Tribolium castaneum: one gene and its partner. The protein of the gene in region 1 purifies or fractionates together with the protein of each later gene. This does not show direct contact. Links are inferred from orthologs where the notes say so. Each region holds a gene or a part of one and is shown on either strand. Other genes may lie near its edges. The genes, in order: small glutamine-rich tetratricopeptide repeat-containing protein alpha and BAG family molecular chaperone regulator 2.

What was found.
Region 2: the proteins of small glutamine-rich tetratricopeptide repeat-containing protein alpha (region 1) and BAG family molecular chaperone regulator 2 purify together in Homo sapiens (affinity purification with mass spectrometry; 3 studies listed by BioGRID and IntAct, with this or other methods). This does not show direct contact. The link is inferred for Tribolium castaneum from reciprocal best matches to the Homo sapiens genes SGTA and BAG2.

What each region holds. Positions count from the first base shown.
Region 1 is NC_087403.1:5,039,050-5,043,653, forward strand, and holds the start of small glutamine-rich tetratricopeptide repeat-containing protein alpha, read right to left. Parts: upstream 2,933-4,604; 5' UTR 2,725-2,932; intron 2,676-2,724; 5' UTR 2,618-2,675; coding exon 2,405-2,617; intron 2,358-2,404; coding exon 2,254-2,357; intron 2,210-2,253; coding exon 1,926-2,209; intron 1,887-1,925; coding exon 1,769-1,886; intron 1,721-1,768; coding exon 1,658-1,720; intron 1-1,657. UniProt on the Homo sapiens protein: Co-chaperone that binds misfolded and hydrophobic patches-containing client proteins in the cytosol. Mediates their targeting to the endoplasmic reticulum but also regulates their sorting to the proteasome when targeting fails.
Region 2 is NC_087396.1:11,144,756-11,148,002, reverse strand, and holds BAG family molecular chaperone regulator 2, read left to right. Parts: upstream 1-1,411; 5' UTR 1,412-1,593; coding exon 1,594-1,627; intron 1,628-1,703; coding exon 1,704-1,928; intron 1,929-1,975; coding exon 1,976-2,325; 3' UTR 2,326-2,529; downstream 2,530-3,247. Other genes in the region: hop (tyrosine-protein kinase hopscotch), read left to right, coding at 1-388, 443-612, 658-840, 889-1,024; beta-mannosidase, read right to left, coding at 2,534-2,788, 2,837-3,037, 3,242-3,247. UniProt on the Homo sapiens protein: Co-chaperone for HSP70 and HSC70 chaperone proteins. Acts as a nucleotide-exchange factor (NEF) promoting the release of ADP from the HSP70 and HSC70 proteins thereby triggering client/substrate protein release.

The DNA of each region.
Region 1 (4,604 bases):
GTGCGTTACTTTTGATTCAGTCCGTATTTAAGCATGTTATTTATAAAAAACGACACTGATTTTCTGTAACGGGGCATATTTTATTTGCACCAAACACAAATCTCCCCAATCTCCCAACTTACAAAATTACAAAACGGGAAAGAATTTCCCGCTTTCCAACGCTCAAGGCACAATTGTGTGAATTTGTATTCAAAATGATTTGATTATTTTTATAAGTTTTAAGCAATACGTTTCAACGATTAAATACCCTGTATATTTTTCATTTAGGTATATGAAAAAAACGTTAACGAAGTCGTAACAATCAATTCACCTTACAAGAATTAGTAGTTATCTCAGATTACATTTTTTCTTGGTGACGTTTTATCCATATTCTTACACAATTATGTGCAGTTTGTTACTCGTTGTCGTCGCGATCGGACGCTTCATAAATAAAATCGAAAAATTTGCAGTTTAAAAATTTCAAATTCGTTGATCGCGGTTAGTGGTGTTAGTGTTAGTGTTGATAGAATGGATTCCCAGGGAGAAAAGGAGGAAACAATCCGGATTAAAGGGTTAGTCTGCAATATTTCCTTTTTCGAAAAATTAAAATTGTAGTATTTGTAATATTTTCAACTAAGTTAAGGCATATTGTTCTAATTTTATTGTTTTTCATTCCAGTAAGTCCGCTTAAGAAGATGATGCGGTGGGACTTCTACAACTTGTAGCCGAAGATGCCATAAAGGTCAGTGAATTATTTTTTTTAATTATTATTATACGGGGTTTAGGGAATGGCTTAGCAATATTTTGTATGTGAATTTTTTTTTATTAATCCATATATTAATTTAAAAAAAATTATTAATCCATATATTAAGCCATTGTGTGGTTTATGCTAGTTTATTAACAATTAATTTTTTCCTTAAGCAAACATTTTTGTATTTTATAACAAAACACAAATTGAAATAAAAGAATTATGAAGTGGACCAAGAAATTAATTTACCTCTGCCGTTTTGTCAATAATTTTAAAGTACACGCTAATTTTTACCATTCTAGTTCAGCGGTTTTTGGGACCTTTGGGAAGTTCAAGTCAAAGTTTTTTAAAACGATTTTTTGAGAGTACTATGCATTTTCGATATTCAAAAAATTTACTTAGTCGATTCGTTTTGCCATTCTCTGTCTACCTTCAAATTTTTGCTAAACCATTCCTTAACAGGAGAGCAGTGCACATGATAGCGGCTTTAAATTACAAAGCTGATTGTAGAGCAGTCTTTATTTTGCCATCTTTATATGTTTTAAACTCTCTTCTCTATACTAAGAAAAATATTAATAAATATATCAGGCACAAAGAATTTCAAGACCATGATACAAGGAGGAACAAAAATATTATACCTTTGCATAACAGGATCTTTAGAGTAAAGAGTTGTACCCGGTACGATGCAATAAATTTTTTCAATGTTTTCCCGGTCGATTTTAGGGAAAAATTAAAAATTTGTTTAAAAGCTAATTGTTTGTAGAACTGAGATGAGTTTTTTAAATGTAGTTTTAATATCTTATGAGTATGTATTTATGTATTTTTTGTGACTTGCGTAAAACATATACCACCAATAAAGAATTATTATTATTATTATTTCTAGTAATTTATTATTGCTTATTGCCAATAAGTGAAAAAAACAATACTTACGCTTGAAAAAGAGCCTCAAAGTTGGTATCCCCCGATTGGCTCATTGCCATAATGCCAGACATTCTGCGAATGAATAATTATTTCAAAGTTTTTCGTATTTGGGGCACTTACATATTTTGGAAGTCGGGATTGGCCATCATTTCCCGCGCCATGGTCAAAAATTGCTCGTTGTTAATGAACTGCGTGATGTCAAGTGGGCGGTGTTGTGGAGGTGCTGCATTTTCTGGAACTTAGATTTCAATTTTATATCGTAATTTTTAACTCTTACCCATCGACTCGAACAGGCGTTCGCGGGCTAGAGTAAGGTTGGTTTGGTAACTGGCGTTGTGGGGGTCATATTTGAGGGAGGACTCGTAAGCACGCACAGCATCGGCCCATTGGTTTAAGTTCGAATAGGCAATGCCCAGTCTACCGTAGGCTTTGCCGTAAGTCGGGTCGAGAACCAGGGCCTGTTTGCAGTCTTTGATAGCCTCTTCATTGTTCTCTAAGCGGCTGTAGGCCGCGGCCCTGTTGCAAAAGTACACCGGGTTGGTGGGGTTTGCCTCGATAGCCCTGCAAACAACTTCAGAAATTTGCCAAAATTTGCCGTAACTCACATTGAGTAGTAACGCACAGCCTCCTCATATTCGCCGTTTTTCATCGCTGTGTTGCCCAAATTTTTCTGGCGCTCCGCCTCGAGGGCCTGCTCTTGTTGGACCCCCTAAGCAAACATGTAAACAACAAGCCGGAATATTTTAATGGTCTCACCGCATCGTTCAGTCGGATTTGAGCGAGGAGATCAACTTTTTTTAAATTTTGGCGATCGTCGCTTGAAATTTCGTAAGCGGTTTCTAGACACTGAATTGCCACCTCAATTGATTCCTTTCGTTCCTCGGAGAGGTCGGAAGCGCCGACCTCACCTGATAAGAAGTCCAGGACGTTGAAGATTAGAGTCTTTTTGCGTAGATTTGAATTTTCCATTTTGGAAAAGGAATGGAGTGAAAATGGTTATAGGCGACGTGTTGCAAAATAGGGAGCACTGCGAAGCCACTTTTATGAGATTTTCTGGTTATGCGGAAGGTACTTACAAAAAGGCAAGGAAATACGAAAAGCAGGTTTTCAACGGAACGCTGCAAAAATAAAGAGAAATTCAAGGCAAAGGCAGGCGCCGATTTCTACATTAAATTGGGGGAAATTGTTGGAATTAATTTTTAGAAATTTTGTTGAGGTTAAGAACTTCTCGTCTTGTAATTGACGGCAAGATGGGACTCTGATATACCGACCAAAGACACGTAGAAAACTTGAAATCAGAAAAAAATATTTTCGAAAAAACAAATATTTAGCAACAAATGACAATTTTCGAAATTAATTTTCTCTTGGAATTGGCTCAAAATTTGTGGTTGGGATTCAGTTTAACACAAAATTATTTTCTTATACAGAAACTCTCAATTTGTGCACCATTTCACTCCAAAAAAGCATTGCCGTTATTGCCAAATTGAAATGGGGATAATGGGATATATGGGCGACGAATTTTTGTTTTTAATTTTTTATCCACCGCGCCCAGCCTAAGCAACCAACTATACGTTGTTAAAATTTTGAATTTGTTTTACCATTTAGCTATTGTGAACCAATTAAGCTAAATAAAGTGGTTTAAATGCATCTTCTTAGTTTTAGTAAATATTTTGACTTACTTTTCCAATGCATGCGTTAGTATAACTTGCTCAACTTTATGCCCTTTTTTGTTGACCATTATCTCTAGTGTTTTCTTTCCCAGTTTATTTTCACAACGTCTTGAGTTTAACTAAACAAATGTTGAAAATGTTGCCCGAACAGGAAAACTTCATTTATCAACATTTTGTTGAATTAGTGAGGGACCACGATTTAGTAAATGTAATGAAAAGTCTCTCCACAAAAGACCCATTAGTCAACAATTTAATTGCCAGTATAAACACTGTAGGTTCGTATTAATTTAGTAACTAGTTGATTTCTAGAAACATTGTAGGATGATGATTACCGACATAATAACAGAATGATTTTATTCGGTTTATTGAAGTCGGAATCTGAGACAATTTTTTATGACTTTGTTGAATCCCTGAAACAATGTGGGTATTCAGAGTTTGAAAACAAAATTGATAAGCCGATAAAGGAAACAATACAAGACGGCAGGTTCCTTTAGAAATTTGGAGCTAGTGCCATTATGACTATAATTTTAGGCTCAGACCAAAAATCAACAGTAAGGATTATTTTGAATCTTCTGATGGTATTGTTGATGAAAATTTTTCCAACAATGTTCTAAAATGTTATTTTACGGCAAGTCTTTTTGACAAAACTTAACCAGTGTGTCTTTTAATTTCTAACAAGGCTTGGGGTATTTTTTTCATGTTGAGAAGCAATTAACATACTAATAACTACATGTTTTATTAATCTTTTTCAACTATTTTTTTTGCCTTGTTTTAATTACGAAATTTGGGAATAATAAACGGCTTATGATTAATTTGTTTTTTATATTTCTGAACGTACAGGTCTAGTTTTAAAACCACATATTTTGTCAAGTGATTTCAGTTGTTTCTAAGTGTTTTTTTAACTTTGATCATATTAACTGACTTAAAAAACAATAATCTCATGTATGATTCGGAACTAAACACAATTTTGCATTTATTTATTCGTAATTCTCTCAACCCAACAAAAAAATTTAATTTTCTGCAACCTTGTCTGTAAATAAATTTCTTTTTTTTTGGTAAAAATTCTTGCTTTCGCTCAGTTTATTACTCTCACTATTTTGTTAGTTTCGTCCTTACCTTAAAACTCTTTTTTTCTTTTTCTTAAAATGTAAACGAGTGACTTAAATTATTATTGCTCGTTTTAAAATTAATCACACTGTGTGTTGAGTGATGTACTGTATTTTAACACTGTAGCCCCGAAATTTGTGAACCAGTGTCTGGAATGAGGGTAAATAAAATAAAAAGAA
Region 2 (3,247 bases), on another chromosome or scaffold:
CATCAATTCGTTACAAAGTATACTTGAGTTGGACCAAGACTGTAGTGTAGTTTTGCAAGGGAGGATTGGGCAAGGGTTTTACGGGGAAGTGTATAAAGGAACTTTGGAATATCCCGGAAATCCTGAAATTGAACCGAGAATCGTGGCAATCAAAAAACTGAAATCGTCAACTGTGTCTGCGTGTTTGCAAGACTTCGAACGGGAAATTAACATTATGAAGACTTTGCAGCACCGGAATATTGTTGAAATTTTGGGGGTTTCCCGGGAACCGGATATTTCCCTAGTCATGGAGTTCGTCCATCATGGCTCTTTGCAGAGTTATTTGAAAATCAATCGAGAGTCGTTGCAAATTAAACAGTTGTTGAAATTCGCGCTTGACATTGCTGAGGTTTGTGGCCTTATTATTTAACCAACTTATCAAATAACATTTTTTATTGACTAGGGAATGAATTATTTGGGCAAGAAAAACATCGTCCATCGGGACTTAGCCACCCGGAATATTTTGGTAGCTGACGAAAACCACGTCAAAATCTCCGACTTTGGCTTAGCGCAAGTCATTGGCACTAATGACTATTACATCTTGAAAACAAACCGGGAATTGCCGATTAAATGGTAATTAGCGAAAAATCACGACTTGAATTACTTTGGTCTTGTTAGGTACGCGCCTGAAAGTTTACGAGACGGCAAGTTTTCCGTGCGTTCCGACGTTTGGTCGTACGGTGTCACAATGTGCGAAATGTTCAACTGGGGCGAAGAGCCGAAATTGTCGAATCTGGGAGAGGAGGAAGTCAGAGGTCAAGAGCAGCAAGTTCTCTTGAACGCCTTGGAGAGCGGGGCCAGGTATTGGTCCGTTGCTGACTTCGTTGGTTTTATCGTTGCCTTTTATAGATTTCCGTGTCCTCCAATGTGCCCACAAGCTGTCTATATACGGATTATATATCCGTGTTGGCACGCGGACCCCCACGAGCGGCCCGCGTTTAGCGTCCTCGTCCAGGAAACGCAAGACCTGCTAACGCAGTATTGAGTGATATTCAGTGCCCATGCAAGGGTGAGCACAGGAAAGAGCACCACTTTGTATAATCTTTTGTATTAAGTTATTCACAAACGCCTATTTAAGATCAAGTGTTAGATTTTAGTTTAAATAAGTACCTGTCGTTTTTATTATTTGCTCAATTTATTTGGAACAAGCACTTCTCGTGCCATTTCTCAGTGCAATCAACTTGTAAATATGTATATTCTATATTTTAAAATAAATGTTAATTTAAGGTTTTTTGCATCATTTCGCTGGACCATTTGTCTCTTTGAACAAATGGCCATTCGGTTTAAAAAAATGCGTTAAAAGCCGCGAATTAATAGCGATAAACATTGAATAATGGTAATGAAAGTACAATTAAGCAGATTTATGGTGTTTTGGGGCGTTTTTTATTGTATTGATTGCGTTTTTCGAGGCGGTTTCGAACTAGTGGGACTAAGGAGTAATGGAACTTTCTAGATTTTGAATCAAATGACCAATGAGTTGTTCCTGTGCTGAATCAAATTGATTTAAAATTATTAGATAAACTGGCGTCAACCAGCAACGATAGCTGCAACAGAATGGACATAGATCCATCTCCGAGTACTTCATCCGGTAATAAATCCTTCTTATCAATATGTTTTTAGGTTATGTCAAAATTTTTGTGTTTGACTAACAGCCCGAGTTTCAGGCTTCTTAATGGATCTGACGTACTCAGGATTGCCAAGGATCGATGAAAACAACACCGTGGATCCCAAATCGCCCAAAGAGCGGGTTTTAGAACTGTTAGATATCTTAGAAAGTCATGTTGAGAAGTTGCGGAGGGAAGCGGCGCAGTTGGAGGAGGACCGGGACCACTTGTTGTCATCCCTGGACTCGGTTAGAAACACTGATTTAATAGTCGACTTACCGGATAGTAAGTATACCAAAAGTAAAAGTCGTTCGTAATTAATTATTTGTAAGATGATAGGGATGATGTTTGCCAGTACGCTGAGCGCATCATGAGCCGCTGCCTCACGGTGGAAGTGAAGATTTTAACTCAGCGTGATAAGATGCAAGAAGAAGCCTTGCACCAAGTGAATCATTTGATAGACAGTCTTGTAATGTGTGTGAAATCGGATCCTGAAAGTGCAAAAGCTAGATGTATAACCTTCATGAATGCTTGTTCTTCGAATGTGGTGCACGGGATCACGGATAAAAAGTTCGAATCGGCTTTGTTAGGATGTACCGTTGACGACCAAAAACGGGTAAAGAAACGGCTTCAAGGTTTGTTAAATTACTTTGATAAACTTAATGTAACTTCGATTCCATAAACTTACTTAATAGTGCGTTGTTATTGATTGTGGCCCGCTTATTGCCATTATATACACATTAAATCGTTAGTATTTAACCAATTGAGTTGTCTTCATTACGGCTTTAATACAACACAGTCGTGTTAACTTAAAATAGCCACTGTGATTGTTTAAAAGACACTTTATTTATAATTGATGAATTAAATAAAATTATTAATTCATGTATTACTTATTTCCGTGAAATAAAATACTTAGGGTCTCTTAGATGAGTCACTGTAAGCGCTTGTTTCAAATCTTCGCTTGTTGTTGGTGAATCTGCTATAAAAGTGACTGTTGTAACAAGAGAGTGTTGAATAAAACCGTTTTCAAGAAAGTGGCCTTTAATATCGTGCGGGTCCAACCAAACGAAAAGACTAGGGGCGTCGGCTTTCACCCACACGTGGAAGCGCAAGCCTTTCGCGTCAATCATATCAACTGAAATAATCTAAAACAAAGCTAAAGCTCTTATCGGTTAATCCCCCGGAAAAATTACCTCAACATTGGAGTTTTTAAGTTTAGCTTCCTTAAATTTTGAAGGGAAAAAGTAATTAGACGGGGTCAAAACTGTGCCGTCTTTCCCACCAACAATATGCACAAAGCAGTTGTATTTTGCTACATCTGCAGCGCCACACCCGGAATCGGACAAAAATTGGTCCACATCGTATGATGCAACTAGTCTTGCCACCAAAGGCTCCTTCAAAATGCATTAATCACGACGTTTTCTCAATTTTAAAATTTCTCTCAAGGTCCGATTGGTTCGCAAATTCTAATTGTTTGGTCCAGGGTTTTACAAAAAAATTGGAAAACCTACTCGCTTATTTCAAGAATTTTTTTTGCTACTGTCATTTGTTTAATCACAAGCCAATCGGGCCGTGATTAACACATCGCAGTTACTCACAAATTC